4 linked regions of the Schizosaccharomyces pombe genome follow. The gene in region 1 interacts genetically with each later gene. Each region holds a gene or a part of one and is shown in the gene's direction. Other genes may lie near its edges.

What was found.
Region 2: mutations in toe4 (region 1) and SPOM_SPBC1348.01 together harm fitness more than expected from each alone (negative genetic interaction), as found in Schizosaccharomyces pombe (one large-scale study listed by BioGRID).
Region 3: mutations in toe4 (region 1) and SPOM_SPBPB2B2.18 together harm fitness more than expected from each alone (negative genetic interaction), as found in Schizosaccharomyces pombe (one large-scale study listed by BioGRID).
Region 4: mutations in toe4 (region 1) and ndi1 together harm fitness more than expected from each alone (negative genetic interaction), as found in Schizosaccharomyces pombe (one large-scale study listed by BioGRID).

The regions. Positions count from the first base shown.
Region 1 is NC_003424.3:114,008-123,867, reverse strand, and holds toe4 (transcription factor), read left to right. Parts: upstream 1-3,634; 5' UTR 3,635-3,759; coding exon 3,760-5,673; 3' UTR 5,674-5,807; coding exon of another isoform or gene 5,808-7,175; 3' UTR 7,176-7,814; downstream 7,815-9,860. Other genes in the region: SPOM_SPAC11D3.09 (agmatinase), read right to left, coding at 1-1,023; SPOM_SPAC11D3.08C (amino-acid permease), read left to right, coding at 1,660-3,312; SPOM_SPAC11D3.06 (MatE family transporter), read right to left, coding at 5,808-7,175; mfs2 (MFS family membrane transporter), read right to left, coding at 8,148-9,788.
Region 2 is NC_003423.3:1,767-8,694, forward strand, and holds SPOM_SPBC1348.01 (uncharacterized protein), read left to right. Parts: upstream 1-3,684; coding exon 3,685-4,174; intron 4,175-4,232; coding exon 4,233-4,552; 3' UTR 4,553-5,063; downstream 5,064-6,928. Other genes in the region: ftm5 (transmembrane helix domain-containing protein), read left to right, coding at 6,214-6,928.
Region 3 is NC_003423.3:4,499,088-4,505,350, forward strand, and holds SPOM_SPBPB2B2.18 (uncharacterized protein), read left to right. Parts: upstream 1-3,604; coding exon 3,605-3,638; intron 3,639-3,699; coding exon 3,700-3,770; intron 3,771-3,980; coding exon 3,981-4,199; intron 4,200-4,439; coding exon 4,440-4,577; downstream 4,578-6,263. Other genes in the region: SPOM_SPBPB2B2.16C (MFS family membrane transporter), read right to left, coding at 1-307; ftm7 (transmembrane helix domain-containing protein), read right to left, coding at 2,869-3,309; SPOM_SPBPB2B2.19C (transmembrane helix domain-containing protein), read right to left, coding at 4,823-5,857.
Region 4 is NC_003423.3:638,014-646,306, forward strand, and holds ndi1 (NADH dehydrogenase), read left to right. Parts: upstream 1-3,280; 5' UTR 3,281-3,672; coding exon 3,673-5,328; 3' UTR 5,329-5,893; downstream 5,894-8,293. Other genes in the region: AFG1 family ATPase, read left to right, coding at 1-1,005; exosome subunit Rrp46, read left to right, coding at 1,361-1,415, 1,499-2,124; respiratory chain complex assembly protein Cbp6, read left to right, coding at 6,278-6,466, 6,534-6,656; rba50 (RNA polymerase II-associated protein), read right to left, coding at 7,207-8,293.

The DNA.
Region 1 (9,860 bases):
CCCATCCAAGCCGCGGAGAATGGTACGTAATTCTCTGGTGGTCCAACCTGCACTCTCAGGGGTACCGGTGGCGGGAGCATAAGCGGGATCAAGAACGTCGATGTCAATAGACAAGTAAGCTATACCATCTCCAACTCTGTCACGGATCCTCTTTATAATAGCATCAATTCCAATTGTGTCAATTTCACGAGCTTCAATAATCTCAAAACCACAATCAGCATCATTATCGTAGTCAGAGAGACCGGAGAGAGTTGTACGAATACCAGCATGAATGTTTGAATCGTTAGAAACTAATCCTTCTTGACTAGCATGGTAGAAATAAGTACCATGGTTAATGCTACCAACACTTGATTTGCCGCCTCCAAAAACCTTGGGCTTCCAGCTGTCCAAATGACTATCGAAATGAATGATAGAGACAGGTCCATATGCACGAGAGACCGATCGAAGAATTGGAAGGACAATTGTGTGGTCACCACCGAGGGTGATAACTCTAGGCAAAACGCTTCCATCTAATGCATAACCATCTTTCTCAGAATAAGATGTAGGCTTGCGAGTTAATAATTCGAAATGGCCATTCTCGATTTGTTTAATAGCAACTGCATTGTCATAACTCGTCAAAGGAATATCACCACAGTCCACAATTTTAGCCCAATTGTTGAAAGGGTTGGTCTCCATTGGAACGTTGTAACCACCATAAAGATTGAGACGACGAGATCCTTCACGGATACCGCTTGGACCAAATCTAGCACCAGGACGGTAACTAGTACCAGTGTCGAATGGTGCTCCAAGGAAGGCAATGTCGAAAGATTGACTTTTGTCGTTTAGACATTTCCAATAAGGAAGACGACCAAAAGTTGCGATTCCCGAAAAAACGGAATCAGCTTGTGTTTCACCATCTCCTGGAAAAGCATCGTCAAAGGTTTCAACTGCATTTGCACGAGATTGCTCAAAGATCTTTGGGTGCGCTTGAGCCAATTGAGCAGCACCCGCGAGAAGAATCAAAAAAAGGCTTTGAAGAGCCATTTGAATAATTGTTTGTACTGTTGAAGTTTATTGCATTTTCAGGTGAAATGAATAAGGTATTTATACTACATTTCAGATATACAAACTTCTTCAAATATCTCCAAGGAAATTTTTGAATCTGCCGTGGGGATTCACATTTCGTTAATATAAATAAGCATTCCTGTAAAAACGATTGATTTCGTCATTTGAGTTGAGCATCCACCGGAACAAACTAGTATAACGAGAGATTAGGATGGATCTTTAAGTTAGATCTAAGATATTATTGCCTATCAGAATTTCCTTGGAAATAAAGGCATGATTGTACGCTCCAAGGAAAATAAATTACGGAAGGCGAGGAAATTCGGGCTTTTATGATTAACTTTTAAAGTCTTATAAAATGGTTAAATTCATTTTTGCTTTTGAATAAAGACATATTTAGTCACAAAAGCCTCTGCAAGCATATACCCTTTCGGTGATCATAAAATTTTTGACAAACAAGCTTTGTGTGGCTATTTCGGCTTGGAGGAGTTGACATATAGATCTTTAGTCTTATTCAAAATATTTGGTATAAAATATTTACGAGCTGCTAATTTTGCTAAGACCAATTTGCTTTGAGAGTTTTCTGCTTGTAAGGACGACTCACATTCAGCATTTACAATGAGTGACATCGACAAAGAAAGCTTAAAACAAAATCAGAAGCAATGGGAAAATGAAGTTGAGTTGGGCGAAAGCAGAGAAGCTAATCAAGATGATGAGCTTCTGATGAGCCTTGGTTACAAACCAGAATTCACTAGAGAATTCTCTTACGTTAGCATTTTTGGTCAATCGTTTGGATCAATGGGTCTTTGTCCGGCTATGGCGGGTTCACTCATTTTCTCGATGAACTGTGGAGGAGGAGGCATGGTTTGGTCATGGATTATTGGATGTATATGTCTGATTCCAGTAAGTATATCATTGGGCGAACTGGCGTCTTCTATGCCTACTTCTGGAGGTCTTTATTTTTGGATTTTTACCCTAGCATCACCATCGTCAAGAGCATTTCTCTGCTGGGTTTGTGGTTACGTGTCAGTGCTTGGCTACGCTACGATTTATGCTTCAACAGTGTACTCTGCATCATCTATGGTACAGGCACTAGCTGTGATAGGTAGTCCTTCTTATTCACCTACAAAATATGAACAGTACGGAATTTACGCAGCGTTGCTTTTCGTGATTTCTGCCATGACTGCAATTCCCTCTCGTGTTATCGCGAAGGTGAACATCATTAATATTACCTTCCAATTCCTTGTATCCATTATTCTTATTATTGCCCTTGCCGCAGGATCTGACTCTACTACTAGAAATTCTGGAAGTTTTATATTCGGTGATTTTACAAATTATTCTGGATGGTCAAACATGGGATGGGCATTTATACTTTCATTCACTACTCCTGTGTGGGTTGTAAGCGGATTCGAATCTAGCGCCGCTGTTGCTGAAGAATCAACGAATGCTGCCAAAGCAGCTCCCTTTGCTATGATTTCCAGTCTTGGTGTGGCTACCATTCTTGGATGGTGCATCGTTATCACCGTTGTAGCTACTATGGGTCACGATTTTAATGCCATTCTAGGTTCCTCTTTAGGCCAGCCTGTAGCTCAAGTACTGGTTAACAATGTTGGAAATAAGGGAGCTTTAGGAATTTTCTCTTTGCTGGTCATTGCCCTTTGTTTGAACTGCATTTCGTTACTGATTGCTGCATCTAGAGAAGTATTTGCTTTCTGCAGAGACGGCGGGATTCCAGGAAGTAGATACTTACGTCTTTTGACTAAACAGAAAGTTCCCTTAAATGCAATTCTTTTAGTGCTACTCTATAGCCTTTTAGTCGGTCTACTAATTTTGGTTAATGTCACTGCCATTTCTTCTGTGTTTAATTTAGCAATTATTGCTCTTTATATCGCTTATTCCGGCCCTCTTATGTGTCGATTTGTGTACAATAAATTTCAACCTGGTGTTTTCTACGTTGGAAAATGGAGCAAACCAGCAGCCTTATGGTCATTAGTTTGGATGTGGTTTATGATTCTTATGCTTTTGTTTCCTCAATATCAAAAGCCCAACCAAGATGAGATGAATTGGGCTATAGTGGTCCTTGGATTTGTAATGGTCTTTTGCGTGGTGTATTATTATTTGCCAAAGATTGGTGGTAAAACTTTTTTTACAGGTCCAATACCTACTGTTCAACAGGAGAACGAGTACATATCTGGTGTTCCACTAAATGAACTATCTTTAAGCAGTTTACCTTTGCCAAAAGATTTTGACCAGAAGCAAATCACAGAGTAATTTAACCTGAGTGTTATACTTTTCTTAACTCTTCTTTTTGGCAACAGCTACGCTGTTTCATTGTATTTTTACTGTGCTTTTATAATTGTATGTTTATTAACAGTTCTTTTTTATTCTTTTGTTCCTAGTCTTAGTTAAATAGCTTAATATTGTTTTAATGTCTTTTAATGAATTAGTGGCTCTGTTATCATTATCAGTAATATAAGATTATATAAAATTTTTTTTATCTTTCGAGTACGTATACTTATCGTCTTGTCCAGATTTTCTTATCATCACTTCCCTTATAACCTATACTTAAGCACGACTTGAGTAGTGCTAAAATAAATCTGCAGATGTATATGCTTTTTAACAGTAAACTGCACCAAAGGCGGTAATGCTTGCTTACAATTGATACGCATTCAGCTAGAATTTAAGATAGTTGTTTAATTACTCTTTTCTTAACATAAGATGTCTCAAAATAAAGCATGTGATCTTTGCAGGTTGAAGAAGATTAAATGTAGTCGAGGGCAACCAAGATGTCAGACTTGTACTCTTTTTCAAGCGGACTGTCATTATTCTAATCGTGCTCGCCGTAAGAGACTTGTTCAAAGAAGCAAGGAGACGTTTGGGGGAATTACGTTACCCGTGTTTGATTATGCCGCTGGTATTAACGGCAATGAGCCAGAACCGAGTGATCACTCAATTCCAAATCAAGAAAATTTTGCATTAACTACTAATGGAACTATTAGTAAAAACATTGAAAAACCCGAGGATGGTGAAGAATCCGTTCAGAGACGCCTTAAATTGCTTGAAGAAAAAATCGATTTGTTGTTAGATATAGCTACTGAAACTTCAGAATTTAAACGTGAAAATAAGGCTATTGAATTACCTTCCTTGGTTACACAAATTAAAGATGCAGAATCGATTGTTATTAAACACAGACAAGGTAGCCCTGTCGACAATACACCTACTCGGATACTGAATGTGGAAAGCTTGTTCCCTCCACAGTTGCCGGACTGGGAGAAGGCATTCCATGACATTCCCAAGAAGGAAGTAGCCCATGAGTTAGTCACGTCTTACTTTCAGCATGTAAATTGGTGGTGGCCTACCTTCGTATATAATGATTTTATGTATGAGTTCGAACGTCTTTATGCGTTCGGGTTCCATAGCAATAATGCTTGGCTAATTTCTTTTTATTCTATTTTAGCATTAAGCAGCATTAGGAAAAGACTTGGTAACTCAAAGACGCTTGCAGAGTCTTTGTTTTCAACAGCTTGGGTTTTTGTTCAAAAGTCCGACTTTTTTCTTACTCCGAGCATTGACAAAGTTCAGGCTTTAATTGTCATGACACAGTACGCAGCTTACCTGTCTAGCTCTTCTTTATGTCGGACTTTGTGCGGCCAAGCCTGCCTCATGGCCCAACAATTAAACTTACATAGAAAGCAATCCACTGATGTGGAGCCTGAAAAGGCTGAATCGTGGAAAAGGATATTTTGGATGTGTTATATTCTCGATAAAAATATTTCTTTGATTTTTGGAACCCCTTCCGTTTTTAACGACAAGGATATTGATTGTAATTTGCCTGATAGCAAATATGAGCTTTTGTTTGGTGTACAATCTGGTGGTGATTTGATATTTGTTCCTACCGTATCGTTGACAATAATTCAGAGTGAAATACGAAATCGACTATACAGCGTGAAGTCACCTACGCAAATGGCAGCGAGAGAAAAAATCATCATACCAATACATCAAAAATTGAAAGCGTGGGAAGAAAACCTTCCTTCTGAAATAAAAATGTATCATGAAATGTTGCTAAACAACACTTTTTCTCCCACTATATCGCTTAGCGATCGGTTCGAATTTTTAACTTTCGCAGGTATGGAAGTTTACTTTTCTTACTTAAACACTTTAATTATATTACACAGACCTAGCTCGTCGACAGAGAATCGAAGGATTTGTATTAATGCAGCCCGTGAAGCAGTTCAATTGTTAAAAAATAGACTCAACATTGATCTCAGGGTCAATGTTAAAGCAGATCCGCTATGGATATTCCTATACTGTCCTTTTACACCTTTTTTAATAATATTTAATAACCTTGTTCACGAAACTGATACGGAAACGGACTCAGAAACATTACTTAACGATTTGGATCTTTTACATGTAATTTACGATTTTTTTATGGAAATGGAGCCAGTTAGTGACGTGGCTTTGGAACTTGTCAAAATTGCAGACAAACTTTTGCGGGTTGCTAAAGAAGTTTGCAGTGCCAAAAATAATGATGTTACGGATTCTACTTTTAAAGATATCGTTGAAGGTTTTGAACTTAACGACTTAAACAGTTGGGATTTTGACAGAGTAACCAATGTTATGAGGAATCTTTAAAAAAATATGAAAGTAACGTTGTTTTATTAATAATTTATTTGCTTTAATGTACATGGTGAACATCATTACCGGTTAACAATGAAGCTATTATCAAACTATTTTGCTTGATCAACTACATGCATCGACCCAAATGTCTAATTGAGTAGTGCAGTCAATTCAGAGGAGTCACCAAATCTTGAGATTGCCTTTCTTGATTGGGAAATCCAGTCAGTTGCCATTACAATTTTCAGTTCTAAAATTCCGACTATGGATAACGCTATTACCTGTCCAATCCAAAGACCGACAAGACCTTTGCCATGGAAGGCTAAATAAATTCCTAGAGGCAGAGCAAACAAATAGTAGGCAGTAATGTTAACTATAGCGCCAACCTTCTGTCTTCCCGTGCCTCTTAAAGCTCCTCCCATTGTACCATTCAAGGAATCTGATATTTGGAAAGCAGCTACTAAGGGCATTACAAGAGCAACCAGCTGAATGACATCTGGATCATTTGTGAAAATCCGTCCATAGATATTGCGTACGGCAATCATGGTAATCATGATAACGCTTCCTACTGCAACACCTACAATTGCTGCGACCTTAGCAGTTAGAGAAGCATTGTCAGGTAACCCAGCTCCGAGATAGTAGGCAACTCGATTAGAAGTAATTATTCCGAGACCGAAAGGAATTGTGTTAAGTAATTGATCTGTGGTCATAATTACTGATTGAGCGGCAAGTGGTACAGCACCAAGTTTACCAGCAACTAGTGCTACTATTTCAAAAGCCCACCATTCTGTTCCCACCATAACGATACCCAATAGTGATAACTTTACAAAAGGTCCAAAGTTCTCTAAGCATCGTTTATTCCAACCATTCCACGCCTCTGCCCCTTTTACGTATTTCGCATATTGAGTTAATAAAATGAATGAAAGCCAGTACGATAATCCAGTTGCCAATGGAGCGCCTTTTAAACCTAATCCATAATAATGGACAAGTAGAAAATTTAAGGCGACATTAAGAGGAGAGGTAACTAGAAGAATATAAGAACCAGCCCTAGTGATTTCTTGTGTTTGCAAAAACTTTTTTAGCAATTCAAAACATACATAACCTAGTCCGCCTGGGATAAGGTATCGTAAAAACTTTTGTGAAGCTTCAGCTAATTCAGGTGTTTGATGCAAGAAAATTAGGATGGGTTTAGAATACCACCAAACTAAACATATTGGCAGATATAGAATACTGAGCACGATGAAACCCGTTTGCAATAGAATTCCCAATTCTTGTTTTTTTCCGGCTCCCCAAAGGTTGGAGCCAAGTGTGTCAAAAGCAGTAGTTCCACCTAGAGCAATCAGCCAGCCTGTGCTCATCGCAAACATGTACGCAAAAGCAGCTACGGAAAGCTCGCTTGGTCCAAGGCGCCCGGTTACAATAACTGAACTAGTTTGCAAAGAGTTTTGCAAGGCATATCCAAGGATTACCGGAGCTGAATTTATCAAAAGGTATTTCACCTCTGTAAGTGGTCTACCCATAATAGTGCTTTCTCAGAGAAAATTTGGATATACGGTGTATTTTTTAATATAAATAAAGAGTACTTCTTAATGTCTGTTCACCGAAGGTTCAAATTTTCCTTTAATAAAAGTTTACTAAGCTTTTATCATATTGATTGAACGGATGGAACCATAAATTTATATCAGAGAACGCTTAGAAGCCGCACATTTAGGGCATAAAACTTCAGATGTCATGGCTAAACATTAGTATATCCGTGGAGATACGGAAATTTAGAAATACCCACGCAAAATATTTTTCGCTTAGCCAACAGACATTGGGAATTCTCGCCGAGTTTTTGCTAACTTAAATGATAGCAGTTAGCATATTTTGCCGGTGAAAATATTATTACCGTCTCACTCCGCTGGTTAAAAATAGTAGGTAACAAATCGGTTGCAGACTAAGAAGCTATTGACTCGCACGTTATTCTTAATTTGTTGAAATTAGTACAAAAATTTGAGCATGAAAGCGAATAAAGAGTACAAAAAATATTTTGTAATTTTACCTTGCATACTCATTGACTGTTAATAATTATAACACTTACCGATGGTGGTAAAATATATAGCAGAAAATAGCTTGGTGAATTTATTAGTCAATAATGATTTGAACAAACATTACAGAAAAAACGATTTGTAATTTCCCAAATAACTGTGTATAAGTATGAATCCAGTTGTTTGGCGTACGCATATATCATTCTCGGTTAATTTTGCTTTTCAAAAGTTTATATTTAGATTGCTGTGACTTTTAGAATGCAACACGAAATAACTTTAAATCTTTACGTTTTTATTAAAACTTTCTAAATTAGTTTATAAACATCCATTCGTTCTTTAAATAGAATAAGCACCAAAATTCATCTTTGCTTGCAATCACTCTCTTACTATATAGATATATGCATGATATGACAATTATAATCAACATTAAATAAACACAACAACAACAAATAATCACACTTGTTCTTACAATTTGTAAGCGTTTTTGCTCCACGCACGAATGCTCTTGCCAAAACGATAAAATATAAAAGGAATGGGAACCATCGCTACAGAAATAAAACCAAGCACACTAGTAGCCCAGTGATCTCCTAAATTAAGGTACATAGGCCTGGCCACCATACTTATGCCTCCACTGGCAGAATAGCGAACTAGAGTAGCTGCAGCTAAAGCGCTCGGTGCCATATGTTGATACGAATCAATAATGTAATTGTATGAAACGAAAAAAACTATTAATAAGGAAAACCCAAAGAAAGCGCTTGCTATTATTGGTACAATCCAGTGAATGTGATGTGGATAACATGTCCATGCAAACCAAAACATTGATATAGGCAACAAGAAGCAACCAATAAACAGCGGATACAAACGATCCTCTGGACATATAACTCCGTTTCTCTTTTTGTTGACCTTTAAATAATGCCAATAAATAAATGGAGTGCACAGACCTGCACATACGATTCCAACGCCAACACCAATAAACGACAGCCCTTGCTCACCTTTGTTGAAGCCGTATTTTGCAAATACTATAGGATATCCTTCAAAATTAATGTAGTTAATGATGTACACCACAGTCAAATACAAAGTAAAGCACACAACAATGGGCTCTGTAAAAATAAGAGAAACAGCTTGAGTAGCTGCCTGAATCATTGCATTTTTCGGATCTCGTTCCCGCTCATGGATGGTATAGTAAGCAGTGTTTCCCGTTGTTTTGCGAAGATATTTGGCCTTATAATCCAAAATCGTATCTTCGTGAGTTTCGGGGAAAAAAATGAAAACAAACACGATTACAGCAGCTGCCCAAATCATATTAATCCAAAATGTCCATCGCCATTCCAGATAGCTTTGTGTAATGAAATCACCGATTATAGGTCCAATAATTGGACCAAGGTACGGAAAAGTACAAAACCCAGGAAGGACATAGGTACGCTGGACAGGTGTAAACAAATCACTGATGGTTCCGCCAGCATTTGCCAAGGGAGTACTTCCAAAAACACCCTGGAAAAATCTTACAATAGCCAACGTCCAAACATTATGTGCACAACCTCCACCTACTTGAAATATAGTAAATATCAGTAGGGTAACAAAGTATATGATGAATCGGCCATAAATATCACTTAAAGGTGCAAATGGCAAAGACCCAACACCAAACCCTACTAAAAAAGTACAAGAACCTAACGTAGAAACTGGAATAGAGCTATGAAGTTCACTGGCGATATCAATAATGCCGCTAGAATACACACTAGAGGCGAAAGTAACAACAATGGTAATAACAGAAACCTGAATGACAATCCACCATTTATAACTATGGCTCCAGTTCCTTGGATTTAAGGGATCGTCTGGACCATCCCACGTTACAAGATATTGGTCCTCTGCTAAAAGGGTATCATTTAAAATATTTTTGCTTTTTGCAGGGCGTCCCTGACTAAGTGGCAATGATGCTCCTAATGAAACCACTGATCCTCGATCATCAGCAGTAGTATCAATAGCAGCATCAGCACCGTTAGACAGCTGTTTTTCTAAACCATTCAATGATTCATCTGAAAAACGTGAACCCACTTTCGAATAGTGCTTTTCAAATTTCTTTCCCGTAATTAAGGAAAGTAAATCCATGTGCAGTTAGTATTGAAAAGGAAAGAATAAATAAAAGTGGGTCAAAAGTAACGCCAAACAAACGAAGGTTAT
Region 2 (6,928 bases), on another chromosome or scaffold:
AAACTTTTTACGATAATGATACTATGAAGAAGCATCTACCAGTTGTGCATATGTCAAAATAGCGTTATAATTTTATAACATCACACAAATATATTAATCGAATAGTCCTAAGTCACACCGTAGTTGACAAAGCGGCGTTGCTAGTTCCATAAGTAATATTTGTACGAGCATATACGATTAATTGATTCGTAAAATATGATCTTTTTATGCTAATACTATTATTCATTACTGTCTACCATATTTTGTAGTTCATCATTATTTTATTTATACAATTACTAGCTTTGATTTTTGAATTGTTATTTGGTTATTGATAGCAATTGATATTAAACGCTTATTCTTTAATATTATTGCACATACATCGTATTTACTGAATATGCCGGATAAAAACAACAGACTTGTGTCCCCGTGATCTAATAAGTTTAGTTATGTGCATCTTAAATACCGGCACAATTATGATGTGGAAAGCAGTAAAAAACATTTCCATATCAGTATTCGTACTTATTGCTGAAGAAGACATATAATTCTGATTTATTTCTGCAGATACATGTATTCATGAAACCTAATGTAAAATAACAATCATCTCCGGCGCAATCGTCAATGCACTAAGAAGAATTCATAATCTATGTCGCTAGTCCCACGCTTGCTTAGTTCAACAGATCGCATCAAGTTCTGCTTGACAAAGTGATTGTATGGTATTCCGTTAAGTAAATTGCAAGCAGGTAAAGATGTCAATCCGGAAAAAGATCGAAAACTAACATGACCAGTAATATTGTTACGTCGTTCACAATCAATAAGTGCTCTAAATTTTACTTCAATGAGATTCCTAATTGTCAAAGGCATCAATCAATACGGTAGTATTGCGTACTGTTTTGGAATAATTCATAAGTGACAAATGTAGTTCTAATCTCAAAACAATAGAGAAGTATGAAGAAAGGTTGAATTGCAGTATTTGATTCCTAGTATCGTACTGAGTTGGAAGTTGTTGGTACGAGTAGTACTAGCAATAAATCACAGTGATATAATACGTTGTAGAAGTAGAGCATTACAATTCTACAGATAATATGAGAGTATAGTATACGAAATAATCAAATTGTAAATATATGTGATGATAAAATATTGAGTTCTACTGATCTTTTCTAATAGTCGCTTTCAATGGGTATTTTTGAAATAGACATGTAGCCTTCCGCAATTATTGGCGAAGAAATCTTGGTATTTTAGGTATGGCATATGGTGATGCACAACGAGTATATCAAGGTGTAGTGTAGTGTAGTGTAGTAATATTGCTGACGTTTACTATTGTTAGCTGATACTAATAAAACAACATTACTGATAATATAGTGTGCGTGTTATTACTTTAGTATTATCGTTTTGAATGTTTGTCAACTTTCAATGATGTAGGAACAGAAAAGCGGTAGCTAAAAATAATATCGATAGTGTTCAGTTTCCAATGGAAACTTTTAAGCTGTACTTAGATAATGAAATGATATAAGAGCAAACAGATGTATAGCTTTTTTTTTTAGGTTTTTTGAAATAAATTAATGAAGAAATATTATTGAAATTTAAACATAAATATACTAGCTACTAATAAAAAACCGACAAAATATATTGTTTCAAAGAGCAATAGTTAAACATGTAATCATTTTCAAGCTTAAAAATGGCGACATATAACCATGTTTATCGAATATGTATGTAATGTATGTAACGGTTTGCTTCTTTCAATTTTTTTTGTTATTTTTATGACTGAATGTCAAATACTTTATAAAGAAATTGTTAATCATGATAGATTCAGTCCACCAGTAGTACACAAAGTCAGCTGCCGCTTCAGTTGGAAGGAATAACAATCAATATGTCGATTCTGTGAATCTTTCCTTAGTAGGATGACTGAATGCTTTACCGGAATTAAAGGGACTGAACATTTTTTAACTGCTGTATTAAATACTACTTTTACATATCGCTGTCAATCTTGCAACAGTTACGCTATACTATTAAGACAATGAAGTTAATGCTTCTCTTAATCCTTATAAGTTTTCATTTTTCTTCATTTATCGTAGGTATTACCCTCTATGCTACATTTCCAATTTAAACTTTACACAATTAACTTGGGTTGTTTTTAATTGTTTTAAAACTTCAAGTGTTGATCTTTATTATGGACAATGGGATGCAATATTAACACCCAGATCCTCTATCACTAACACATACTCTACGCATTCCAGCAGAACCAGGTATAACGCCTGATACTTCAGGGTGGGTGTTTGCTCTTGATTGAGAACAATCATCGATAATAAGCCAAAACATCACATGCTAGATCTCAGTAAGACACGCTTTTACTACCAAAGGTTTGTATAACATTACCCCCCCCAATCACCTCTATAGTCGGCTGCTAACGTGGCTCCACCTCGGGCTCCAACAGCATTGGCTCCAGTGTCACAGTCATATGTGCTTGCCATATTTGTACTATGACATTGTGTGGTGTATCGGTCTCGCTTCTTCAGCAGTGGTAATCCATTAAGCACATCATCTGTCAAGTTGATTATCCATGTAGCATCATCCGCAGATTGAGTTACCAAAGTTCTGAGTAGAACTATCCTGGAAATCTCTCCGTCATTATAAAGTTCATGGAGATCAATCAATAACTCGTGAGTAACGTTATTAGTTGAATTGCTTATAAGCGGATTATCGATATATATATGGTTCATTAATGCAGTCATCTTGCTAGCATTATATAATTCATTTACGATATATCTGAATTCATAGTGCTGTGTAGTGTTATCTGGAGGAAATTGGGCTACCCAGATTACAGCTGGAGCGTCTTCGAGGTCAGTTGGAAAGCAACTGATTAGTGTAACCAACGATAGATAGCAACGTAACTAATAATAGCAATCTCATCGGTAAAATATTAAAAAGAGGATGAAGATAGTTCCAAATTTCTATGATATTGACGTTCTCTTGATCGCTATATATTACTAAGCCTCAGAGCATACAAACACCTACTTACTGCGGAACGAAAATAAGGGTTATAGGATAATCCTTTGTATGATCCCCTGGATTAAGCATAATCTCCTATACAATGTATGTAGGTCAACAATACTACTAAATACTACTACGTTGAATAACACCATACGTCAAGTGTTCTATATTTGCTCTATTAACTTTCCACTCTGAGTTATAGAGATAGACATATTACTAATTATGCAGGATATTTAGAAAAATTTTTAAATGCTATAAATTGAGAAAAACTGAAAAATAAAGAACGAGGTTCAGCAATAAGCTACAGCTACTTTAGTGATTAGGTAACAATTTAATTCATATATAAAAATATCAATAGCAGATGCTACTTGTATTACTGTGTACTGTAATATACTAGGTCACAAGGAAAACACATCGTACTTAAACGTATCGTTAAACAGATACCAAACTGCGTAGCTGTTAAATTGTGAAAAGAAAAAAGTTGTAAGGATTACGAGATGCCAACATCATAATGCTTTTCCTAAATAAATGAGACACCTCAGAACGTAAAACATTCACCATTTTGGTTTTTTTTTTTTAATTTTCTCGTTTATGGCTTAAAATATTTTAGTATATTTTCTTTTTTATTTTCCATAAACCACTCTTTTTAATTTTACTTTGGGGAAAAATACTAGTGAATCAGAAGTCATCAAATTACAGTGCTGTCGTTCTATTCCAATGTCAAATCCAGAAAGCTTGAAAAAACAGGTTGAACCTCCTGGTTACAATGAGTTATTTATGGTGGAAGATGTTTGTAATGTGGACCTAGAGCAGGGACTTGATTTGTGTAAGCCTGAAAAGGTAAACAAACAATCTCAACGATCTCGACAATCCCGACAATCCCTCTTTACCAACACCATTAAGCCTCAAAAAGACAAGATGAATATTAAAACAAATAAAATAAAAGAGTTTTTAAATGACCTTTTTACTGAATTTTCTAAATTCCACAATAGCTATTATCCTGATGGAAGGATTTCTACCCGCAGTAATTTTCGTTGGCCCTTGCTTATTATTTGGTCTATTATCATTGTATTCGCAGTAGACAAAAAGTTCGAAGTCCAAAAGTTTCTTTCAATTTGGATAAATGAAAATCGGTTCTACAGTGAAATTTGGGTGCCTATTGCTATTTACGTTTGTTTGCTTGTTTTAATGTTACTTAGTTTAATTTGTATGTTTCCTTTATAGTGATGCTTTTTTTCTTTTTTTTTGCTAATAATTTAAAATAGTCTTTGCAGAGTTTGCGGTACTTGCTTTACGGGTGACCGGTGTGATTATAGCAGTCTTGGGTATGATTATAGCAGTCTTGGGAATGATTATAGCAGCCCTGGGTGCAACTATAACTGGCCTTTTGTATTTTGGTCATTGGGCTCTTTACAAACTTGTAATATTGTCTTTAGGCTTTAAAATTGTGACACCAGGAGACGTCTGTGTTTCTAACACTCTTCCTACACATAACGGAGAAACAGCATTACATTCAGAAACAACAGTTGGTTCTGATATTGAACAAATAGAACTACAAAATATGCCTACTCCTGTGAAAAAATAATTTTCTTTATCGTTTTCATGATCATATAGAATATAACTATTCTTAACAATGTTCGAATTGACTGTCCTGTCCAAATCATGCACATAAGGTGCGTTCGTTATGAATTTCAATTATGGAACCAAACCAAATTATGGTTTTAATTAAGATATTATCACTTAATGTAACTAATGTTTTTATCTTTCGTTTCATAATTATTCAAATACTAAAAATGACTTTTTTATATATTTTTTTTTTAAAAGCTTAAAATATATTATATTAAATAAAAAATTTCGAATTGAACCAATTTGGACTCCCACTTGTGTTTCAAAAACTCCATTTCATCTACTTTAACCCAAAATTCAGCGTCATATTCACTACAGGAAAGGAGTTTTATTCATTATCTGTTAGTAGAAACAATTTGGTTTCAATTTTTTATGACGAAAATGCTTCGAGTTAATTTAAGGCTTTGTTTGAAATATAATTCGTTTAGTGATTATTCGCTTAGTGATTATAGATATCGTTCTAATTTTCAAATTACAAAATACTAAACAGCTTTATTTGAATAAACAGTAAAAGATTCTAAATCTTTGGACTACTTTTAAATGGTTGACAGACCAGAAAAATTTGAGAAAGAAAGTTTTATAACAAATCGTCTTATTATCTATCTTGCCTAAAAGGAGTGATCAACCTTGAATGACAGAATTTATTTTAGGTCGATAATGGTTGGACGGTGGTGTGGTGTATGCTTGCTAAGCGAAAATATTGCAGGACATAAGTTAGACGAATTGAATTTTCTACGTTATAATCTGTTCTGGCGCTTGCTCGCAATCGTAAAAACAAACTATTGAAATTAAAAAAAAAAAAAAAAGATTGGTAGTGTACATGCTGAATTTCAATCTATGCTTTAAATTAATAATTGCTAAATTCAAAAAAAAACGAATGCTATCTCTTTATCCACTGGTCATTACCAGTTTTTTTTTTTTTTGCTATATTTTTCTTTTAAAAAGCTTCTGTATTCTCGGGATATTACCAACGGCGTTATTAACTCAATCATCGAATGAAGTACGAGTACTAACGGAATAGAACTAGTCAACGGTGAATGACTTTATCTTTCACGTTCCATACTTAACAGATTTTTTATTATATTCAGTAACTTGTGCTTGTACAATTTAAATCTTGAAGTAAAGGTATGATGCGTGAACAAACCATTTATTTGTGTTCTTTTCCCTCCAATCTTCCCAATGTTTTAACGCTAACGTTATGCAACGTGGAGCACGGTAACTCCAAAACGAAAGATATAAAAGGCTAATCATTCCTGATCTGCTTTTCCCTTGAGCAAGCATCATTTACCAACTTTTTTAAAGATGCGTCTTCATAAAACACTAGCATTGCTGTTATGCAACCTAGTTCTCCATACTCTAGTTAAAGGTGAAGTAGACGCCAAAGCAGTATCTATTACTACATAAAAGGAAAACTCTACCTTGTCAAACCATAATGGACTGCCTAAAGAAGCCAAAAAGCTCACTCTTAAGTGCAGTTGGTTCATTGTGGAGGAATCTAACGGTGCCAGAATACATGCTAATTTTTTTGCACAAAGCTTCGATAAAAGAGAAATTGCTTTGTCTTTTTTTGAAGCAAATGAATGGCAAAATATAATTGGCTGGAATGATCAAGTTGAGGAGATGATTGACTTTGTAAAATCAAGAGACACGGTGATCCAAAAATCTTTTTTTGAGGAATTTAATTCCCAAAACCGAGAGATGGGATCATTTGCATATTCTGGTAACTCGGAATCGGTATGGACGGGCGAAAATATTACAAGTATATGGAAAACTATTTTGATTAATGAAACGGGTTCTTACTGCGTAGCTGCGAGACCAATGACAATGGATGGAGCTGAATTTAATTTAGACCTTATGGGGTATTCGGTTTCAGAAGATCAAATTAATAATGACGAAATTGGCATTTGGAACTATATTTCTGTAGCTGAAATGGGAGGAGTACTATTATTTTTGAGCTATTGGATATGGACTTGTTTACATTTCAGCAAGATTATATTTCCTGCTCAAAAGGTAATCTGCCTTTATATTTTTCTTTTTGCGTTAAATCAGACTCTACAAGAATGCATTGAGGAGTATGTTTTTTCTTCCGAATGTATAAAATACAGACAATTTTATTCGGTGTATGAAATAATTGATTTTCTTCGGACAAATTTTTATCGATTATTTGTGATTTACTGTGCATTGGGTTTCGGCATAACTAGAACTGTTCCTAAATATCTTATGATAAAAGGAATTAGTATTGTCATTGCTTTATGTTCTGTATACTGGATTTCTTTATATAAAGACGTATATGTAGTATCAGAGATTTTTGACATGATCCAGTATGAGGTATCTC
Region 3 (6,263 bases), on another chromosome or scaffold:
CACTAAGTGGAGCAAATATTAAATTTCCAAATAATATCCCTAATGTATAAAGTGTGGCTCCTAGAGTGACCAAGGTTCGCGAAGCATGAAATTGCTCTGCAATATTGGAAATACTTGGCGCAAAGACACTATCACCGTATTGATTCAAAAAAGTCATTGATGAAATAACAATGACATTTCGTACCTTTAAACGAATAGGCCATGTTTTAGGGTTATATTTGTCTGGACAGTTTGTCTCTAGAGGGGTTGATGGCACGTGTTTTATGGAACTTGAATCGCATTTTTTTAAAATTGACTCTTCTTTCATATAAAACACAGAAATTTGTTTGAAAAAAAAAATGAAAATCTTCTAGCGATTATTCAAGTAATTACGTAGATTGATTAAGCAATACTAAAGGTCGTTTCCACTATAGTATTCCTATACAACAAAAAATCACCAAAAGTTATTTGAAAGTAGTAGGCTTGAGGTTCTAAATTAAAAGCAATTTTCTTTTTTGGTTACTTTTGTATGGTCCGGTTAAAATATAAAATTAATGCACAAAATACTTAACTTATGTATATAATCTCAGTTACGCGGAAAATACATGCAATAAGTTTTCCGCGGTGCACGCTTCACCGCGGAGCATTCTAAGTAAGCACGATAGCAAGTTATAAATTACAGGCATGGAAAGTATACTCAATTTATTTTAATAGACTTTTTTCCAAGTTCTTTTATACAATTCTGCTATTTTGTCCTATAGATCGCCTCAACGAACACTCACTACAGAAGAATTCTTTAGACTTGCACGATCCCATCCATCATGGATCCATCCTGCTGATTCAGCAAATGACCACCTCACACCTGCTTTCTTTGGCATTTATATTCGATCCATAACTTTCTAACCATTAATATAATGCTGAATTCATGAATGTTAACAATCGATTTCTAATAAGAATAGCCAATCTATCAAAGTTAAAAGCTCTGGTCAGTTTAATGGATTTTCGCTAGTGCATCATAGCCTTGATATTTCTAAGGTTTCCATTGGTTGTAAGTTTCTTTCAACTCTTCGTAAAGAACAGTTGTTAGCTAGCTAATTGAGTGTCTGAATTTTTTTTTGTTAATGGGTTCTTAAAATTGATGTATATGTCCATTCATCTTTATATATTTTATGTACATGAACTATTTACAACGCATTTTGGCAAACCATGTGTAAACATTTATTTTTCTAGTTAGGGGAAGATGAAGCAGGACTTTTCTTCTTTAATGTCTTCAATCTTCCAATAGTTTATAAAGAAAGCTTTTTGACATTGTTTCTTTTTAAAGCGAGGGAATACCTTTTATGGCCCTGCCACCGTCTATAACGTGATTTGTTTGTTTCGCTAAACGCTCTTAGGAAAACGGAGCTATCAGAGTGACATATATGACTTAACGAAGCTGTGTATGGCTCATGATCACTATTTAGAATTGAATGAAAACAACCAATGTCAATCACAGTGTCGAAATGCCCCTTGAATTCATTTAATCTTGAAAAATCGCGTTGATTAAAGTTGACATTACTTTTTTCACTAGATGTTTTATCGATTGCTTTAGAAATAGCCCTTTCGGAAATATCAATACCCACGACTTTATATCCAAGACTGGCTAAATATCTAGCATTTCTATTTGGTTCACAACCGGCATCTAATACATTCTCATGTAATTTCCCCAGTTGTACAAGATTCATGATCTATTCGTCTGGTTTCTCATTATCAAATGGTGTTGCGGGATCTTCATACATATTTTCCCAACTATTTTTTACTTCAGAGATATATTTCTTCATTGTTCTTAATGATATATAAAAAATGGTGAAATATTTATTTATTGCCCCATCATGTTTATTTTTATATCCTTCTTTCTCTGTCAGGAAATCTATTTCCGAGCTGACGATAAAAAAACATGTTGCAAGTCGCCGAAACTACCTCGGCTTTTATTACTATGTCCGAAAAGTGCGCGAAATATTGGAATGGCTTGTAAATTATGCATTTAGCCAAATAAAGTGATAGTAAGCGCAAAGTGTATGACTCAATGAAAATCGGGTGTATCAACTACTCAGTTGTTTACCATACAATGTATTGTAAATTATGGGTAGTGTCGTCGCTATTACATTTAAAAAATATATTATATTGAAGGTATCTAATAAGAAGTAAATGTTTTTCTGTGTAATAATAGTGAATTCTTCTCATCAAAAATATAAACGAACTGATTTTTCGTCACCTTATTAGGTTATACAAAGTCATAACAATGCAAAACCAAAGCGGATAGCATATCAAACTAAGAATATGACTTGCTATTAAAAATTAGTTTCGCTTGAGTTTTATTTTAAGAGTAGTAATAGTCAGAATTTATTGTGCTGATACACTTCAACTTACTTGATTAATAATTGAAAAAGAGAAATTTACAATTGAAATTGAAATGGATGGATTTGAAACAAACCATTCGTCAACATCACCGCTACTTTAAAAATGCTACTGTACTTGCGAGTATAACTACACAAAAGTACATATTTAAGCGATTGCATCAAGTAATGTCATATATAGAAATACAATAATATAAACGGAGCACAAACTGAACCTCGTTCTTGATATATCAAGTCCTCTTTATTGTACCATAATGTTGTATGTCGTTGTGCTATATTTTTTTGTAAGTTACAATCATACTGATTGGCATAGCTTCTGCTTTTAACATAACGGCGATCAAGCCATATTTGATCAGGTTAGGCAGAATTCCAATGATTGCATTAGAAGGTTTAGATCTTCAAGTCAATTTTACGATTACAAGCAAAGGAGAAATAGCAATCAAGCCAGTATCGAATACTCATTACACGTATATAGCAAGATACTATGGAATTGTTATCGTGATATGAATCTTGATGGTGGATTATTATAGCCCTGGTGCAGATCACTAATATCGGTTTTCGAGTAAGAATGATTCTTGCTTTCTGACCTAGTGACTTTCTCAATAGAGAAAAGTATAATGACTTGAAATTTAGAAAACGTTCTAATGGAGTTAATGGAGTGAGTTCTAATGAAACGAGGAAAAAATTTGTTATGATATACTACGACGCATCCAAATGTAAAGGATCGGAATTTAGATGAAACCGATGGTACTTCCGAGTAAATGTACCAACAATATAATAAATAAATCAGCAATTTTACTGCTAGACAATATTTCACTGTGAGGCTTAGTCTTGGTATAAATAGAGGGACTCTGTCAAAACAAATATTTTGAACTAGACTCGAATTCTTCATAATTCTATTCACTTGAGTGTTTATTTTTTTTAACAATGCCATTACATTTACGAGATATGTGGATATCCACTGACGATTATAAGGATGTTTTACTTACGTGTCCTGTGTGGTATGAAATTAGTGAAAGAGAATTAAATCATGCTGTTTGGGGACAATATTAAAATGGTGAAGTTATAATGAAACAGTTGTTGGAAGCGATTAGTTTCAAAAATTAGCGACTCGTATTTTGTTTATTATTATTATTATTTTTTCTTTTTTTTTTATTCGCTGTTTTAAAATTGTTTCCAGCAATCTTCTTCCTGTTCTCTTTTTATCCGTTTGACAACACATTTTGCTAATGCTTTTTTTTTTTTTTAGTTCAAAGAAGACTGGTACGAGAAATAAACAAGTTCAGTAGTTTCGAAAGCAATTGGCTCTTTCTTTTGTTTTTAGTCCGAGTATGTCGTCAGTTGAAAACCGTAACGGTTCTCATTGTGCCTGTTCTTCCGGTTTATACGAATAAGGTAAGAACATTCAAGAAAGCGTTTGATATGAAGTCTGTTCCATTATTGCTCTTAGTGCCTGACAAACGTTGTTAGTCTGTTTTGAGTTTACAAGTTTGTTAAGCTAATAGCCATTCATTGATCTTCATTGTTACATGCTTTCCATGGAATAGTTGGAGGTGTTTACTTTTCAACTTGTTAGCGATCGCTTGCTAACATTTTTAATAATAGGTACTTTGTTGTTCTCAGTGTGACTGGCACGAACCAGCAAATGTTTACTCGATTGAACAAAGGCGTAGTCATGATGATGATCTTCCTACCATTAAGGGTTCTGATGCTAGTACTCAACAGTATGAAAGAAAAACTTATATTACCGATGCTAGTCCCGAATCTCAGAATCTGTTTTTAAGCAAAAGTAAAGAGGAGGGAGTTATCTTCTTATGCATACAAGTAAGCTTTTAACCTTGATTCTATTTATTCACTTTTACCATTTACTACTTTCGCAAATTCCTGTTTTTTGTTGGGGATATGAAGGGGAATATAAGGGTAAAGTAGATGAAATGGATGTATTTGAAAGTTGATTTGGATTCGATTTATTACTTTGAATCCCCGTTTATTATTATACGTTTATGTCGTTTTAAAGAAAACCATGCGATGTACTATATTAATTTTGTAAAATATATATTATAGATAAAAAAATTGTTGGGAAAATGGGAAAGCAAGTTGAAAATAATTAAATTCAATAAATTAGCAAAATATGTTTATGAAGGTAACCAGTTTTTTCTTTTTATTTTTTTTTTGTCTATATGTCAGATTCGCAACTTTTAAGTTTGAACAAAACATTATTTCACATCGACTCAAAGGTTATGTGTATTTAAAACGTTCCAGTAAAAAAATATTCATTTGTAAAAAATAAATAGGTGGTATATTAAATAAGAATGAACTTACTACACAATTTCTGTGTAAAAAAGTGAGATTAAAATAACTGGATATTAATCCATTGATAAACAAATAATAAATAAAATAATCCCGGTAACCCCTTTAAAGGTGAATCAAGTAAACCATGGTTTTTGTCAAATCATTTTCTCTTGAGCCTCTTCAGCTACATTTCGATTGTAGGCAAGTGCTTCATTATGGGTGGGAAACATTATGTAACATGGAAAAGCAATTTTCTCCATAAAAGTGAAAAGATCACCAATGATCACCGACAGTCTGTAATCAAAGTTTCCAAATATAATATTCGACAGGTAATGCAACATTGGAGATGCACAGAATATAAAGATAAATGCATTTAGCATTCTTCTAAAAAATCTGGCTTTTGAAGCATTTTCGTAAGTTGTTACAGACGTGCATTGTTTCAATAAATGACAAATAGAATACACCCAAATTGCAGGAGATACCTCATACTGGATCATGTCAAAAATCTCTGATACTACATATACGTCTTTATATAAAGAAATCCAGTATACAGAACATAAAGCAATGACAATACTAATTCCTTTTATCATAAGATATTTAGGAACAGTTCTAGTTATGCCGAAACCCAATGCACAGTAAATCACAAATAATCGATAAAAATTTGTCCGAAGAAAATCAATTATTTCATACACCGAATAAAATTGTCTGTATTTTATACATTCGGAAGAAAAAACATACTCCTCAATGCATTCTTGTAGAGTCTGATTTAACGCAAAAAGAAAAATATAAAGGCAGATTACCTTTTGAGCAGGAAATATAATCTTGCTGAAATGTAAACAAGTCCATATCCAATAGCTCAAAAATAATAGTACTCCTCCCATTTCAGCTACAGAAATATAGTTCCAAATGCCAATTTCGTCATTATTAATTTGATCTTCTGAAACCGAATACCCCATAAGGTCTAAATTAAATTCAGCTCCATCCATTGTCATTGGTCTCGCAGCTACGCAGTAAGAACCCGTTTCATTAATCAAAATAGTTTTCCATATACTTGTAATATTTTCGCCCGTCCATACCGATTCCGAGTTACCAGAATATGCAAATGATCCCATCTCTCGGTTTTGGGAATTAAATTCCTCAAAAAAAGATTTTTGGATCACCGTGTCTCTTGATTTTACAAAGTCAATCATCTCCTCAACTTGATCATTCCAGCCAATTATATTTTGCCATTCATTTGCTTCAAAAAAAGACAAAGCAATTTCTCTTTTATCGAAGCTTTGTGCAAAAAAATTAGCATGTATTCTGGCACCGTTAGATTCCTCCACAATGAACCAACTGCACTTAAGAGTGAGCTTTTTGGCTTCTTTAGGCAGTCCATTATGGTTTGACAAGGTAGAGTTTTCCTTTTATGTAGTAATAGATACTGCTTTGGCGTCTACTTCACCTTTAACTAGAGTATGGAGAACTAGGTTGCATAACAGCAATGCTAGTGTTTTATGAAGACGCATCTTTAAAAAAGTTGGTAAATGATGCTTGCTCAAGGGAAAAGCAGATCAGGAATGATTAGCCTTTTATATCTTTCGTTTTGGAGTTACC
Region 4 (8,293 bases), on another chromosome or scaffold:
ATATATCTATATGGTGATGTGGGCTGTGGTAAAACCGCTTTGATGGATCTATTTTATCACAACTTACCACCCAATGTTACTCGTTCTCAGCGCATTCATTTCCATGCATTTATGATGCAAGTTCATCGCACTTCACATGATTTGCAAGATCGTTATGGGTTTGAGATTGATTTTATAGATCATATTGCATCCGGAATAGCAAAAGAAACAACAGTGCTATGTTTTGACGAATTACAGGTAACCGATGTCGCGGACGCTCTTTTACTACGCAGACTCTTTGAGGCCCTTATGAAGTATGGTGTTGTTATCTTTATTACTTCTAATAGGGCTCCTTCTGATTTGTATAAAAATGGAATACAAAGAGAGAGCTTCATTCCTTGCATTAAACTTTTGGAACATCGTCTTCAAGTAATTTGTTTGGACAGTCCAAACGATTACCGACGCCTAAAATCTAAAACAGAAGATACATATCTTTATCCTGCTAATAGCCCAGAAGTTAAGAAAGCCTTGGAAAATTGGTTTCTTTGCTACGCTGATGAGAAAGATCCTGCTCACCAAGACGAAGTTGAAGTATTTGGGAGAAAGATAATCGTTCCAAAAGCAAGTGGCAACGTTGCATGGTTCACCTTTGAACAATTATGTGGAGAACCGAAAAGCGCTGCCGACTATCTTTCATTGGCAAGCCGTTACCATGTTTTCATCGTTTCAGACATTCCCAAATTGAGTATCGAGTCGAAAGACCTTATCCATAGGTTCATTACATTTATTGATGCCCTTTATGACACCCATGGAAAACTCATCTTATCATCTGAAGTTCCAGTTCAAGAAATATATCCGACAGCACCTTCTGAAGTACTTTCCTCTACGGCTGATCCTGCTGCCAAGGGGAAAATTGAATCTCACTATCATGGAGCATTTGGTGGGATTGAAGAGGTATTTACCTTCACGCGTTGCTTGAGTAGACTTTCAGAAATGAAAAAACAATCCTGGATTCATTCTCCTTAATACAAAGGTGATTCCTTTATAATGAGATTATATATCATGATGTATTATTTTTAAAAAAATATTTTGAAAGATGGCTATGAGTAATTTCTAATTTTTTAGTGGTTGGGCTGTTACAGATCATTCCAGTTTCTCCTATCATTCAGCTTTAGTAAAGTAAAAATTGGAAGAATTTAATTACAAACCCTTATTAATACAACTCCCATTGTCACCAAACTATTGATACATTTTTTTCTGCTCTCATTCTGTTTTCGAATAACGAGGTGTAAGCTAGCTTATTTCCTACTTGTGCAAAGGAAGTAGAAACGTTTCTTCTGTCTCTGCAAGCAAGCAACTTTGTTGCATTATAGAAGCTGAAATGAACCGTATAGGTATCCTCTCAAGGTCTGATGGCTCGAGCGAATGGAAACAAGGTAATGCTATTATCCACGGTATATTAGCCAAGCAAATGCCAATTAAAAAAAAATGAATTTTCTTTATGCTAACATCATTGTAGGTTCTGCTAGGGTTATTTGTGGTGTCAATGGTCCTATTGATGTAAAAATCAGGGACGAAAGGCTTAACAAGGCCACCGTTGAAGTTTTGGTTCAACCTGTGAGTGGTGTCGCTGAGACTTTGGAAAAGATGATTTCTAGCAGAATTGTTGGTATCCTAGAAGATGCAATATTTCTAAACACATATCCAAGAACACTTATACAAGTGTCAATTCAGATAATAGAGGAAGATGGCACAGATACATTGGCTGCCGTAATCAATGGTGCGGTACTTGCTTTATTGGACGCAGGTATCTCTTTAAAATATATTCCCTGTGCAATAAATTGTCACTGGAAGAACAAAATAACTCAAGATGAACCTGATGTCGATGGGACAATTAACAAATTGGAGTCTATTATTACTATTTGTTATTCAATTTCCTCAGAACCAGCCAAATTAATTTTTCTCGAAACAGCTGGCCCCATTCCAGAAGAAGATTTTTTCCGTGTTCTGGAGACAGCACCATTGCATGCCGAGGAAGTTTCTAAGAAAATGAAAGAATTGCTTTTTGAAACGTACAACGAGAGCGATGGTCATGAAAATGAAAAGAACCCCAAAGAGGATGTTGAGATGGATGTGGTTGCATAAGAAAATCAATAAAGTGCATGTAAAAAGTCCATCTCAAGGACCTTCGTTTCGTATTTACCATTGTACCTGTTAAACGACTATACCTTTGAACAATATCTTTGGCTGTTCATTTTTATACTTAGATTTTATATTACTTGGGCGATATACATTGGGTTATTTTTAATTTATTTTAGTTTATTACTAATTGAGAAACCAGAACCTAAACAATCCTACTACATTAGAAGGTTTACTGTCATTCTTTCAATTCACTAGCAATTAATGTGTTCTTTCAATACTTCAATGTATGCTGATACATTTGGGTTAAATCATAAAAGAAGATCTGTCATAAGACAATCGTTCAGTACAAGGCCTTGGGTATATACACTCATGACTTTTTTTTTTAATTTTGCCACTCACTCACTTACTCTATACATATTGAGTCTATCTAACGTATCAAGCTGTTAACTAAGAGAAACGATTTGAAAACACATAGGAAGGTCGCACACATTAGCTGTCTTATATACTACTGAATTTTAAGTTTAGGAAATCATTGAAGGTAAAATAGGTAGAAAAGTGAATAAAAGGCATTCATACCCAGGACAAAGCATTGCCTTCATAAACTGGGAATTTGCCATACACTAAAAAATTACTGTTGCACAACTTTTCCTAAAAAGTAATCTAATGTAGTAATATTATACTACAGCAGGTATTAATATTTTTTCACATGTCCTTTTTTTTATGTGTTCGCCAAATATGACGGTTATAAATTTAGTTAAATACTTTTGATTGAAGGTACTATTAGCTACAATTTATGAATAGAGATCAATTGACCCGGTTCTCAGTCCAGTTATAAGCTGATTCAACGATGAGTTACACCCTTCATGCCACAAAATTTATAGCATTTGTCACCCATATCACTTTTTTTAGGACAAATAACATACACTACCAATGTAACATTAAATGTGATAACACAGTGCGTTGCTAACATTTAGCAATTCTTTTCTTACCACGTAATACTTTTTATGGATAACCTTATTCCGCGTTATTTTTCCCCACTCACAGCACACTTGATTGCCGAGTCCAATCAAGTTGATATGAATAACCGTGATGACGGAATTAGGGCGCTTCGTAGACCTTAATTGTTTACATACAAAATGTTCAGCTATGCAGCCCTTTCGTCCACATTCAACACTCCCCCATCTCTTCTTAAAAAAAAAATAAGCAGAAAAACTCGTTTTCTGTAAAGTAGAAGGTATTTTAGAATACACTACAATTTTTTCTAGTAAAACTATTATTGGATACCTTTTTTTCGCAGTTCTAAAGGCTTATTTCTGCTAGTTATAGTAATTCACTGTGTATTTAGGAGAGGACTCAAGGTTGTCGTTCTCTCTTTCTATTACTGTCTATTAATATCGTAAAATAGCTCAATTTTGAATGGGTTTATCTCTTTAGTTTGCTTGCTCTTTAACATTTGTCATTATCTCATACATTTTTTTACTCACGCCTCCCTACCACTTATCACTTAGTCCTATTTAAGGGGAAATTTGTTTACTTCTTTTTTCTTAAAAAATGTCGGTCTCAAAAGCTAGACTACAGTCTGTGGTTCGCCTGTCTCGTACAGTGCCATATTCAAAAACGATGGTTCGTTCATTTCATGTATCCTGTGCTGTAAAGAACAGTGGGAATGTTCCTACACCCCGTAACAAATCATTTTTCTCTCGAGCACTTGAAATGGCGGAAGTTACTTCTTCTTTGTCCATGTTGGGTGCCGTAGCCCTCTTCCAATCCTTACGAAGACTGAACAACAGTTCGCCAAAAGGAAAATCTGGTGTTCCGAAAAAGAACATAGTTGTTTTGGGTTCTGGATGGGGTGCAGTCGCGGCAATCAAAAATTTGGACCCGTCCTTGTACAACATTACCCTCGTGAGCCCTAGGGACCATTTTTTATTCACCCCTATGCTTCCTTCATGTACCGTGGGTACTTTGAGACTTCCAAGTATTACTGAGCCCATTGTGGCTTTGTTCAAAGGAAAAATTGATCCCTCCAACATTCACCAAGCTGAATGCACTGCCATCGACACATCGGCTAAGAAAGTTACCATTCGTGGTACGACCGAAGCTAACGAGGGAAAGGAAGCGGTTATTCCGTATGATACGCTTGTTTTTGCTATTGGAGCTGGTAATCAAACATTTGGTATCCAGGGTGTCCGCGACCATGGCTGTTTTCTGAAAGAAGCGGGAGATGCCAAGAAGGTGTTTAACCGCATCTTTGAAATCTTGGAACAAGTTCGATTCAATAAAGATCTTTCTCCCGAGGAACGGGCTCGTCTCTTACACATCACTGTTGTTGGTGGTGGCCCTACTGGAATGGAATTTGCAGCTGAGATGCAAGATTTCATTGATAACGACGTTAAGGATATGTTTCCCGAGCTTCAAAAAGACATCCATGTCACGTTAATTGAAGCTGCCCCCGGTGTTCTCCCCATGTTTACTAAATCTTTGATTACGTATACGGAGAATTTATTCAAAAATCTTAACATTAAGATCATGACTAAAACCGTGGTTAAAGATGTTAATGAGAAGAACCTTATCGTTCAAAAGACCAACCCTGACGGAAGCAAGGCTATGCAAGAGATACCCTACGGAATGCTCGTTTGGGCTGCCGGCATTACTGCTCGTCCACTCACTCGTACATTGATGTCTTCTATCCCTGAACAAAGCGGTGCGCGCAAAGGTTTAATAGTTGATGAGTTTTTTAGGGTCAAGGGTGTACCTGAGATGTACGCCGTTGGTGATTGCGCATTCTCTGGATTACCTGCTACTGCTCAAGTTGCTAACCAACAAGGTGCTTGGTTGGCTAAGAACTTGAACGTCGAAGGAAAGAAGTTTGCATTGCATGAACGGATTCAAGCTCTTGAAAAACAGTTAGGTGAGAAAGAGGCTCCTTCTCAGGTTGCCGGATTGAAACAGCAAGTGGAGCAGTTGAAGTTAGAGCCCTTTAAATACCATCATCAAGGAGCTTTAGCTTACGTTGGAGATGAAAAGGCCATTGCCGATTTAAAATTGCCATTTATGAAAAAGATGCTGCCTTTGCAGGGAATTGTCGGCCACACCTTTTGGAGACTTGCATATTTAAATGAGTTGATTTCTGCTCGATCCCAATTCATGGTGTTGATTGACTGGTTGAAGACAAGACTATTTGGACGTTATGATGCTAAGGTTTAATGAACGGAATGAAATACTTTTGGTTTACAAGCAATTGTTTCCTTGTGCTTTGTCGTTAATCATAAGATGATTATTTTATACTTGAAAAAGGAACGTATTTGAATAACAGATTTCGAGATGAACGATTCGTTTCGACTACTACTTTGATAATTTAAGTTTATGTTATTCTAAATGATAATACTGATGCCTTATTTGTTCTATGATGGAATAATTCTTAGTGTTACTCCATTGATGTATGTAGAAAAGCTGGAAGTTAACAGTTGACAGGTAGTACAATTTCGTTACTCAACGAGACTATATGTTGCATATGAACTGAAAGAATTATATTTATGTCTTACTGTATTCAGAACCACTTTAATTAGAGCCCGTATAAACCATGTTCTCTGCTTTTAGCTAGCTAATCGTATAATTAATATGCCATGCTGGCTTCACCGGCACTAGATTCGTTGTACAGTATTATATTACACTACCCCATCAGGAACCGTTTCACAAAAAACCCGTTCGCTTACATAGCAACATTTCTTAGATAATTTCATATTTCTAATCCACTCCAAATAAGATATCCTTTCTTATATAGATTGAAAGTTTTAAAATACTGCTTAAATATGCTTAGTTGACTCTACCTTGCTCACTTCAATTTTAAACCGTTTTCAAAGGTTCTATCAACTCCATCGCACCGGTACTTTTTAAGATCATTTAATGATATACGTTGTATAACATAATAGATGATTCACTAAAAAAACTCACCGTAGTACTGATTGCATCCTTATAAGCCTAACAAAATATGTAATTATTCTGTTAAGTTATTTACAATATTTGTATTTGCCGCTCAATATTGTTTAGCGCAATAAGGTGATATAGCCTGGCCAAAGCAGAGAATGTCGAAGAATCTTTCTACTTGCAAAGCAATTGAAAGTTGAGGCTTTATTCTTGTTTTTAACCCTCAATAATGTCTCTAAACCAAAAAATAACAAAGGCAGTTGCTCTTTGGCCGAAGGATGAATTGCGACCTTGGTTGTCGTTTCCTAAGACTCTTGACACATCTATTAGAGCCAGACTTCAAAAGATGCCACCTCAACAGGCTAATAAGCAGTTAAACGCTTTGAATAATTTGCTTGATAATGTCTATTGGAATAAGGTATGCTTCTTATTACGTGCCTTGATAGGGTCGCCTTACCTTTGTTCGCCTTTTAACCAAATTGTAGTATATCCCCAAGCAAGTAGTATTGAAACCACAATTTAAACCTTCTTACTACGAAAGTCTTACCCAAATAAGAAGAAAAGAAGAGAAAGCTCCTCTTTGGAAAAGATTGTTTAAACGGAAATGAACTCCCATTATGCGCCTGCGAGACATCCTATTTATTTATGCCTTGATTTCATAATACTTCAATTAATGTGTTACTTCTATGACTTTCTAGGTTAAATGATCTTTCGAGATATATACTTTTTTTATATCTCTTTACTGCGCCTTGATGAAAATTTAAAGACAAAGTGATATCTTACTAGTTATGAGGGTGGGCTATTTTAATCTAAATTGTCTGTCTCAATGTCATTTCTTGTGTTAAAAATTCATTTTCGACTAAATAACGAATGGAAACACGATAAAAGTAGATAAATAAAAACTGTCCTTATAAAGCATTAGTATAAAAAATATATTCATTGCAGCACCACTTTCGATTACCAAGTAAAATCTCTCAGCAATGCGACAATTTCGAAAAAAGTAAAGACCAAAAAAAAAACCATCCTTTTTTTGATACAAAAAAAAAAAAAAACTAGTAATACACATAAACCAAAACAAATAGAATCGTCACATTCAGATACAAATGATAAAACATTCTTCATAATTTTCTGTTTCCTTATAAAAAAAAGCTTGCTTCTTTAAACAGCCGATCTCGATGAGCCGTGTTGACTTTGTGAACATAACCAAAGTGCCTCAATTGCTAATGAGCGTACAGTGAGGTGCTTTACTTGGTCACTGGCAGCGGCGGCAAGTAATTCATAGATATGTGCATCTTCGACTAGTGTATGCAATTCTGGACTGAGCACCTCTCTGAATTCGCCAGAGTTTAATCGGTAAATAATCCTTCCAATAGTCTGAATAGCAATGCATCTCTGGGTTGGGAAACTTGAACGCAAAAGATGAGCCAGCTCAACTAAAGTGTATCCGGCACTAAATGGTGCGTCTCCATGATGATGAAGTCCTTCATTAACAGGGATTGTTTGACTTTGAGAGGGGGTTATAATTTCACCTTTGAAGCCAAATCGAATTTCATGAGCATGCAAACTCTCGACAGAAGGATGATAACTATTCTCGGCAGGACTGGGATCATGCAGCCATTGCATTTGCTTTTCATCAACAGGTAAATTCGGAAAATATTTATCATGAAGTTGTTCATAAAAACTTGGGTCATTAGGATCCAGCGTTACTTGCTTCTCTGGAAGATGCGTAGTATCAAATTCCAATGGCGCACCATCATTACTTGTTGTACCGTCACTGAGGGCTGGAGAATGTTTTTTGGGGCTATGTTTCGCATCTTCTGACGCATCGTCCTCTTCGTTACCTTTAATTGGAGCTAAAGTTGGAAGGGAAAATATTTTTGTCAGTTCCTCGGCTTTATCTGGAAACATAACTCGCTTTGTTTGACGAGATCGAATCTCAGCTTGGCTCAGCGCCATCGGGGGAGAGGGAGAACCGGAGGAGCTATCGACTGCCTCACTAGACAAAACGCTTTGAAGATTGCGATTCAATTTTTCAGAACTCCTTAATTTTTCATTCGATAAAAAGCTATCATCACTGGGACGCTGACTTAGGTCGGGTGTGTTAACTTGGGAGGACCGATCTTTCCTTTGTGCCAATTCACGTTCCGCCTTCTTTTTAAACGCTCTCTTTTTCAACATCTCCAGCAAGTCATCACGAATAGTGGCCCTAATTTCCTCTTGAGCTCCTTCAATTTCCAGATCATTC